Drosophila melanogaster: one gene and its partner. The protein of the gene in region 2 interacts with the protein of the main gene of each other region in a pairwise test. Each region holds a gene or a part of one and is shown on either strand. Other genes may lie near its edges. The genes, in order: Nrx-1 and CASK.

Region 1 (5,033 bases), 650 kb from region 2:
GACCTGCGACTATGAGCGCCGTGATGCCCCCATCGCTCCAGCCCAAAATGGAGAAGCGTGGTCTGTCCAGGGCACGCATCAAATCCACGGCTGCCTGGGCATCCTCCCGAAAGAATTCAAGGCCGAACTTGCGCTGCGGCGGCACTGATTTGCCATAACCCGGCGGATCCCAGGCGATGATGGTGTGACCCGGCAGCAGTTTCGGCAGCTGCTCGATCTGGGGCCTAAAGTCGGTCCACGAGGAACCCAGTGCTCCCGGCATCAGGAGTAGACTCCGCTCCCCACTGCCGCTCTCCACAATGTTCAAATCTGAGCCATTCACACGAACTTTCCGCTCCGTGTGCAGCAAGCGCCTGGTGATCGGGGAACGGGCACCCACAAGCCGGCACAGATTGCCCAGCATTACGTAAGCGGGATCTAACGGGGATTTTGGAGTATGGCAACAAACTTAGCTGCTTCTCAAGGGCTCTTCAGATGTCCAGAGAGGAATATTTGGCAAATTCTAATCTTTACACACGACGCCTTGTAAAGTGCACTTGATAAAGATCCGTTGATAACAGCTGATTGATAAGAACAGCTGTAAGTAAACGATCGAATTAGTGTGGCTGTAGGTGCGATGATGCCATATACCGTTAAATCAAAAGTAAATATACCAAAAAACTAATTTTAAAAGAATCGTTAATTTTTTAATAATTTGAAAAATATTTTCATATTGATATTTAGGCATTGGGTGATGCACTTGCATTTTTAAGAATGTTCCTGAAATTTAAAAGATTTTTCCATTCATTTTGAAGAATATTACTTGACAATGCCGAACTCTCCACAGATTTTAAAATAATGGTAGTTTAAAAGCCCTTGAAAGTTCAAGAGCTGCCGCTCAGTTTGATTTTAAGCTTTTCGCTCTTCCCCCAGCTTTTGGCATTCCCAATCTTAGTCCTTGTTAGTCCACTTGAACGTCACGACTCCGAAGGACAATGGACAGCACGTGCTGGCATTTGTTTAGCCTTTAGCGTGCGTTAAAATATTATTAAAAACCGTAAGTGCTTAATAGCAGGATCCTGGTCCCTGCTGTAATGGTCAGTGCGTGATTCGTGTGCTCAAATTAATGTGTTCGCCTGGACTGCGACGACGATTAATGGAGGCGACGGCCTTGCAATTGCTCTCCTAGGACGAAGGAGCAGGGTGATGGGATTTGACAGAGGCAGGACATACACCCACAATCGAGAGTAAGGGACATCACATTCCACTGCCAATGCAAATGCAAATCGAATTCGACTCCGAGATGTCGAAGTTGCGTAGTAAATGTCAAGGAATTTACACGGGTCGTCTCGGAGATAGTGAGCCCGGGGGGGTGTCAGCTTGAGTTGGTGTGTGTGAGTGTGCGTGCGGCCACAGGACACCCACGCACACAGCTGAACATGCATATGTGTGTATCCATGTGAATGTGGCATCTAATACGCTTTAGTGGTGCAGGTTATGAACCTGCGTGCTATTCGCTTATTACGCATGTGTGAGTGGGCAGCTGGTGTCTATGTGTGCGTTTGTGTGTTAGTAGTACACATATGCATGCCTCGTGCGAAGTAAGCGAGCTTTTAATTTTTGGCATTCCCACACACTACACTCAAAGCGTGCGGTGCTTTCCTTTTCCGTAGCACACTTTTTCGGGTAAATCAACAAAGTACCAATATAAACCATTAAATTCAAGATTTCCAGTAATTCTGAACGATTTTAACTTGTCTAAATGTAAAATCAGTAGTGTGAGGTACAAACTCCTTTGTCCAGTTCGATTGTAGTGCCATTTTCGAGTCGCCTAGACCGCACCAGTGGCTTTTTGTGAATAAGCTGGCGGAGCTTTCGTTATCCATTGGAAACAGTGCGAAGAAATTAAGTTTGAAATTGCAGTTCAGTCTTGTCGTGGATGCAGCGCGGATCGATATCGGAGCTAAAAGCAGCGGAAGGCGCTGCTAAGCAAATTTCGACACACAACATTTTTGTATCCCTCGAAATTGAACCGAAAAATCTGCAAAAATAAATTCAACCAACCAACAAAAACGAAAAGGACGCGTCGCGCTAAAATCCAGCCCGAAAAGTTACATAAAGCAGGAGCGACAAGAATATCGTGCAAATTCAAAGGAATAATTGTGTAATTGAAAAATCTGTGTGCAGTCTCTGCAACTAATTTCGTATCCAATCAATAGTTCAATCAATACGCATAAATAACTGATTGCTGTGGAATCAACCGCAGTAAAGCGCCCATTTTAGGGGCACTTGCTGTGAGGTGCTTAGAAAAATTTTCGCCTACATTTGCGATATGCAGTGAAAATTTTTTCCGATTTTTAGTATGTACATGTACGATGGAGCGCTCGTGGGCGCCACAAACTGCGGTGGCAGGGGTATCCGGCGAGCTTTTGGCCCAACCATAACCCCCAGTATTACTAATACAGCCGACTCGGTCGGAGAAACGGTTGTCTGACAAAGTATCGATGCAAAATATGCGCCGTTTTGAATTTAATTGCCAAAAATTATGCAAATCAAGTATACAAAATGCCGAAAACTGAAGGTGCTGAACATTAAGGACCAAAAAAATCAGGCGAAATCATAAGCAATAATCGGTGCAGTGCCGTTAACAGTCGACGTGTACCGTTAACATCCGCAGCCAACTTCGCGTGGCCGAGCTTTCGCTCTCGCGCGCTCTTACGCTCTCTCTTGGCAGGCGCGGATAAAACGGATTGCCGAGTAACACCAACACAAGGACACGCGAAAAGCTCGCGCTCAAGGACTGGAATACGCGACAGAAACACAGCGAGTGAGAGAGAGAGAGAGGGAGAAGGACACTTTACGTTTACGCGCGCAACGTGCGTAGGTGCCTCTGTGTGGGTAAGCCCGAGTGCCACCGTGCGTGTGAATGAAGGCGCCACATAGTGCAACATATCAGGATAACTATGCTGATGCGGCCATGACAGCCAGGACACGGCCAAGCATGGACATGGATCAGCAGCGAAATCGAAATCAGGCGGAGCTGAGGCTCCTGCCCGCCCAGCGCACCTCCACCTCCGCCTTTGAATCCCCCGACTTGCGGTTCAACAAGGCTCGCCGCCGGCGGAGAAGCGAGCAAGTGCCTCCCGTGGTCGTGGAATACCGTCGCTCCTACCGCGTGCTCATCGTCAGCGCCCTGCTGGTCAGTCTGGCGGCCAGTTTCGTGACGCTCAGCGCCGGATTCCAGCTAGATGGATCGCAAAACTCCTTCTACACCTTCCGCAAGTGGTACACCGGACTGAATGGGACCCTCGAACTGGAGTTCAAAACGGAACAGCCCAACGGATTGGTTCTCTACACCGACGACGGCGGCACCTACGACTTCTTCGAACTGAAGCTGGTGGAAGGAGCACTGCGGCTGAGATATAACCTTGGTGGCGGAGCTCAAATCATCACCGTGGGTCGGGAACTGCACGACGGCCACTGGCACAAGGTGCAGGTCCTGCGGAACGATGAGCAGACATCGCTCATCGTGGACGGCGTCTCCCAGCAGCGATCGACCAAGGGGAAGGAGTTCCAGTTCGGCAAGTTCGCGAGCAACTCGGACGTCTATGTGGGCGGTATGCCCAACTGGTACAGCAGCAAGCTGGCCCTGCTCGCCCTGCCATCCGTTATCTTCGAACCGCGTTTCCGTGGCGCCATCCGCAATCTGGTCTACGCGGACCAGCCGGGCGGCTCCACCAGGCGCCAGGAGATCAAGCAGCAGCGCGACATCAAGTGCGGCGATGTGCCCTGCGATCACGGAGAGCTGCCCGCCCGTGAAAGGCCGCTCAGGGTGAGTCCATTAGTCATTGATATACACAATACAACTTTTTATATTCTATTTAAATGATATTGATAATAAGAAAAAAGCCTCTATTTATATGTATCCCTGATTTGGTAAATAATCCTTTAATCCTGCAGGGTGTTCGGGGTGGCAACACAACCGATGCCTGTGAACGGAATGATCCTTGCCAGCACGGCGGCATCTGCATATCCACTGATTCCGGTCCAATTTGCGAGTGTCGAAACCTCGAGTACGATGGCCAGTATTGTGAGAAGGAGAAGGCGCCATCGGAAGCAACGTTCCGCGGTACACAGTTCCTCTCCTACGACTTGGGCCAGACGGGCGCCGAGCCGATAGTGAGCGCCCAGGATGCCATATCCTTCTATTTTCGCACCCGCCAGCCGAACGGTCTGCTTTTCTACACTGGCCACGGCACGGACTATCTAAATCTGGCGCTGCGTGATGGAGGCGTCTCCCTGACCATGGGTCTGGCTAATGGCAAGCAGGAGATGCACATAAAGCCCTCAAAGGTGCGCTTCGACGACCACCAGTGGCACAAAGTCACCGTGCACCGTCGCATTCAGGAGATCTCCTCCATAACCAGCTTCTGTCGGGTGGGTAACTGTTCATAGATTTTCTTGGTTCTTTATTCGAAATGGAGTTTTTTTTATCCCTGTAGCTGGTTACCGTGGTGGATGATGTCTATACGGATCACTCCCACATTGCTGGCAAGTTCACCATGCTCTCCTCCTCGCGGGTTTACGTTGGTGGTGCTGTTAATCCTCGAGCGCTTTTGGGTGCCCGTGTGCACACTAACTTCGTGGGCTGCCTGCGCAAGGTGGAGTTCTCAGCGGATACGCTTAATCTGAACCTCATAGACCTGGCCAAGAGCGGTTCCAAGCTGATCCAGGTTGCTGGCAATCTGGAATATCAGTGCCCCAGTGGCGATCCACAGGATCCCGTGACCTTCACCACTCGCGAATCGCATTTGGTAAGTTGAAACCTGTATGAAAATACGAAAAGTAATGAATTAATATTTGATTGTTATTTTAAAGGTCCTTCCTCCCTGGGAAACTGGCAAGCAGAGTTCTATAAGCTTCAAATTTCGCACCAAAGAACCGAATGGCATCATTGTCCTGGCCACAGGATCCAAGCAACCACGGGCCAAAAACGTGAGTCTACTCATTAGGTTATCTTGAGCCATTTTGCATAATTTGAATCCATCAGCCCG
Region 2 (5,265 bases):
AGGACTCGCTGTGAACTTGGCCACATCAACGATTTTGACGGCAAACTGCTGATTGGACTCCCTGTGTATGCATCGCCTTACGATGGAGAAAGGTCCTCTGTAAGAAACAATCCCGGATGGGGGGGGAATAAAGTAAATTCGGATTAAACTTCAATTGAAAGTTGATTGTGTCTAAATGGGAGCGAATAAAATTTTATCTTGCTTCGACAAAAGCAAAATATTTATATTTTCCGAGCGTCTAAAAGCAAACAAGATACTTGAGAAAGAGGAAATTTAATCAACTATGTATTCTCTTTGTAGTTACAAACGTGGGGTTTTAATACAAAAGCTTGCCATAACATTACTGATGATTATTTTACAAATAAATTTTAATTTTCTTACAAATTCCTATTCAATAACTCATTTAAAGTCAAGCAACGATTTCCTATCATCTTGTTTTATGAGCGTGATTAATTTTTATTGAACTATGTCACCAAGCTGAATTTGGAAAACTATTGCGATTCAAGGTCGTCATTTTGCTTATAGTTTATAGATTATAAATTGCAAAAAATTAAAAAACGTGCTATTTAGTGACTCACACTTCATTTTCAATAAACTTTAGAAGTGTGTTAATGGAACATTTTCAACATCAGTGAAAAATATTTTTCCAACGAAATTAAACAAAGTTCAACTTAATAACATTGACAGCTTTGTGAATGAACTTCTGGCTAAACTATGATGATCACAGCAAAAGTAACTAGCACAGAAAATGTTTGGTCATACATTTTTGAATAATGCAAAAGTTGGGCGTTTGGGAAAGTTTTTTATAGAGGGGAGCTGGCTTCGTCCCAGGCCAATAGTTGCATGATTTACGGCTTCTGGGTGGGTGGGATGGGCATACGGGGCGGATACATAATACATAATGAGATAATGGCCATGGATGCCAGCTGTCAGCAGCAGAATCGGCTAAAGATATAGCCGGTGGGGCGCTAACTTACTTGCCAATGACCTCGCACAGCTCGTAGACGTCGTCAAAGAGAATTTCGTCTTCGGTCATTTTGAATAATTGATGAATTGATGCCTCGACTCAATTGCTTTTTCGAATATTGATGAGTTGTGTCCTGTTTTTCGTGTCCGTCGCTTTTCCTTCTCCCGCTTCCTTTGCCCGTCGTCGCCTACTGCCCTCCAAAAACGAACATAAAAAATAAACAAAAAACTAAGCGGCCAGTGAGCAACTCCAAAACTTTGAGCGTTTTCCTTCGGTTTCTTCTGATGATTTGTTGTTAATGGTATTGTTATTGGTGTCGTTGATTCGTTGTTGCCGCTAATGCTGTTGCTGTTTTCGTAGCTGCTGATGTTAAGAATGCATTTTGCGCTGGAAAAATATAACAAGTGAAAATGGTGAAGGTGAGTTTTTCCATTAGTTGAAGGCCGCTAATCAGATTTATTTGGCGTCTAATTAAGAAACTGTCAAGAAGCTTTGCGAGAATTCTGTCAAGCAGATGACGCAAATATAAACAAATTTGTTTACATTTGTGAAAAATTATACACAGATTTTAATCAAGAAAATTTGCTAATAATTTCCTAAATATTTTGTAATCTTACTTACAAACTAAGTTAAGTTTATAATGCTATCTGAATCAATCAAATTGAAAATGCCACTATAAAGTTGGGCTGGCGTGTTGACACTTGTGTGATGGGAACACTTTTCGAGGGACCACTGTTAATGGTGTCGCAACGGAAATGAGACTGGCCTGGCCGAAACTTGTTTGATATGTCAATCACACTCATATCAGGTGTAAACCCCAATCAATTACAGGCGGCACACACCACAAATGCACAAAATGCTGTCGAAAGTGCCAATGGTAGGAAGGAAGTATCCCCGCACAGTGGGCGTTGTGAATTTTGCAACGGAAATGATGGCCAGCTGAAAAGGTAAACAAGCCAGCAGGACCTGCAGAATGTGTCCTTTTCGAGGGTCTCGTTCCAAGGATGTTCGCGGGGAAAGTTCGCAGGGGGGGAGGGTGGATGGGAGGCGCTACCTTTGTCTTGGCCATACTATTATTATGCCTTTTGGTCCAGCACTTGAACATACTTTTCAAAACTTTGATGGCACTCCAAAAATCCGAAAGGAGAAAGCCAGAGAGCGAGAGAGTGTGAAAGAGAGCGAAGGAGTGCGAGAAAGATGGCGAGCATGGATGTAAAGTGCGCCGGCGCCGTGGGAAATTCGTGTAAAGCACCAAAATTGTAATCGTAAAAAATATAAGCTATGCTTTCTGCCCGGGCTGCATGAATATTTAAATGTGCAACAATTTACGATGCACACACGAAATGTGGAGAACTGAGTTGCGACTGCGAGAGCAGGACGGAGCATTTGCGGGGAATCCCCGCGAAGGACTTTCTGGTAGTCATGTTTAATGCAGAGCTGCGCATGGGGCGCGGTGTTTTTGGCTCGGTTTTAGTATTCGGGCTCGAGGGTTTTACCTTGCTCGTGTGCCGCTGTTGTAAAATGCCTTGACACTTTCCACACGACCTTACCGCCCACCTCACTAACGCACCCACCCACACCCACATACACTCACTCACTGACTATGTGTGTGCATTTGGCCCTGCTTTTAGGACTTTTTGAGACTCTCGAGTGTCGCACAATTGGCAAATTGATTCTTTGTCTAAAGGATTTGCATTGCTCATGTTCCACGCCCCCTTATCAACGACACCGCCCCCTTTATCGGCCACACATAGAGGGGGCCACACTCACACCACACACACACACACACACACGAACACACACTGGCACGAACAATTCGCATATAGTTTTATGTACGAAAACCCACCGATTTGGCAGCGATTCTTCAACGGCCGCTGGTTTTTGGCATTTTAGCGAATCGCATTAGCACTCGATTGTCTAGGTGCGCAGCACGAATCGCCTGGCAAGCTGATTGCATTGGGTAATTTACTAATTTTAACTTAAAACAAACACGGCCCGTGAGGAATTGATTGGCGAAGAACTGGTTGCAACTGAACCGGTTCGCCGCGAACTAGAATTCCAGGGCTGCAGGTGCATTGCTGGATTGGTTCGGAACTTGGAGTCGGTTCACGGCTCTCCCATTGAAAATTGATACCAACCTGTGTTCATTAAAAATATTGTTTTTAAAATAAATTTAAGGGTGGTACTGCAGCAACTTACTTCGTTAATCAAAGTTTTAATTCAAGAAAGTTTGTTTGAATCAAGCAACTGGTTATACTGGAAAAATACCAGAAACCCGTTGGTATCTAAGCTTTTCTGTCATTTTGTTATTAACTTTATTTGGTCTGTTAAAATTTGCGCGGAAGTTTTTGAAAAAAAGTTTTGGGGACGAGAAAGTATAATTTTGGAATATTGTTAAGAATATAGTCATTCATAACGACACAGATGTTTTATCGAAATTGAAAATAAATACTATTAAAACTTTAATTTTGTTAAAGAAAAAGTAAATTATATTTTCCTGCTCCTTTCTCTTCGGTAGCATTTTGCATATGCTTTTATTTGCTTGACTTATCAGCAAAAGGCAGTTGTTTTCCTTTGATAAATACCCACTGCATGCTTAATAAATTTACTCGAAAGTAAGATAATTCATTGCACACTGAATTGTTTCCGCTTGAGTGAAGTCAAATGGAGGTAAATATTTATGCGGTACGCAAGCAAGTGCATAAAGCTATTGTGGAATATTGCACATACGAATTTCGAACACTTTCCAGTTTTATCGGCAATACGATGCCAATTACCATTCATCAACTTGAAAGTAAACATTTTCCCCTTCAAAAATGATTCACGATTTATTTAACTGGACTAAGCCACCAGTGTGTTAATACAGGGATTTTCACTACAGAACCTTTATCAACTTACTTTATCGCCAGGCTCGTTCACAGCTCATTGAATATTACCATATTATTTACATTACTTCTCTTTCGCGCCATTCAACTTTATCTATTATTATTATTATTACCCCACAGCATTTGATAAACCCATTAGAATAAATTAAGATCTTGGCATTAATATGCCAGGCACACACACAGGAGTCCCTCAACCGAAGACGAGGAAAACCCACACGCACTCCTCGAAAATAAAAAATAAAAACCGTAGGTGCGTAATCTTTAAATCAGTTGGAAGGGGCTGGTGACGGGGGCCAATACTCAAACATAAACATCATCAATTACAAAACCTCGAACAGCAACAACAACAACAATCACCGCCAAACGCCCAACGACAACAACACACAGATAAGATGCAAGAGAAACAACAAGCCAATAAGGGAGCAACAAACACAAAACCATCAGCCAAATGAAGAAAGACCTGATGAAAATGAACTCAATATGGCCATATTACTACGGGGGATATAGTCGAAAAGGATAAGCACCAACAACCATTTCGAGATGAGCAGCAAAAACAACAAGTGTTAATGATCAGCAATAACAACAGTGGTCACCCACTAATGTCCACCTTTCGATTGTAAAATAGCAGCCAATTAAATTATACGCACTATGAAATATTCAGAAATAATAAAAAAGTAATTAATTTTTTTTTTAATTTATACAACTTCTTTCATAATTTGTGAGATCAATCAAATAGTTTGGGTATAAACTAAAAAGTACACACCTTCCTCATTCTTAAGTGGTTTTACCTACTTGTATCAGCCAGCTAAAATATATAGAAAAGAAAAAAAAATTTTGTTTTTTTATTTAAAACGCGAATCTTGAAAAATATATATATATAAAAATATTATCCAATTACCACTGTACCCTAATAAAAAAAAAGCACAAAGCGGAGATATAATACACAACTCACGGTGAGAAGTCGTAGGTCGTTGCTTTGCATTTGTTTGCTGCGTTGGTTGACAATAAAAAAAAAAAACAAAAACACCAAAAGGAACACGGTAAGCAGAGCAGAAGGAAAAAATCGGAAAACAAAAATACTCGACTCGATAAAAGGAGAACAACAAAAGGGCAGGGAAAAAGGCTCAGCCACTCAGGTGAAATCAAAATCAAATTCAACGCCAACGATCGACTCATCCCCATCCCCATCGCGGTTACCTTTCCCAGTTGCTGCCAGTTCCTTGTTTCTTGCCCCGCATATCCTCGCTCCATTCGCCGTCTCTTTCTGTGGCGATAGCCCCGTCTCTTTCCCGTCGCCGATCCTCGTTCTCTGTCGTTCTCTGTCGCCGGTGATCGTCATCATTTGGACTTGCGACTGTCGCGCTTAATGCGTGTGGATGGACATGAACGTGTAGGATTCGAATTGACATTATA

What was found.
Region 1: the proteins of CASK (region 2) and Nrx-1 interact in a two-hybrid assay, tested with the Drosophila melanogaster proteins (one study listed by BioGRID).

The regions. Positions count from the first base shown.
Region 1 is NT_033777.3:22,467,580-22,472,612, forward strand, and holds the start of Nrx-1 (neurexin 1), read left to right. Parts: upstream 1-1,898; 5' UTR 1,899-2,905; coding exon 2,906-3,811; intron 3,812-3,939; coding exon 3,940-4,416; intron 4,417-4,481; coding exon 4,482-4,793; intron 4,794-4,857; coding exon 4,858-4,974; intron 4,975-5,029; coding exon 5,030-5,033. Other genes in the region: CG5377 (uncharacterized protein), read right to left, coding at 1-403. UniProt on the Drosophila melanogaster protein: Neuronal cell adhesion protein involved in synapse formation, development of synaptic active zones, synaptic regulation and visual function. Plays a role in cell adhesion between the pre- and the postsynaptic cell.
Region 2 is NT_033777.3:21,819,670-21,824,934, forward strand, and holds the start of CASK (CASK), read right to left. Parts: upstream 3,006-5,265; 5' UTR 2,814-3,005; intron 1,355-2,813; 5' UTR 1,037-1,354; coding exon 978-1,036; intron 98-977; coding exon 1-97.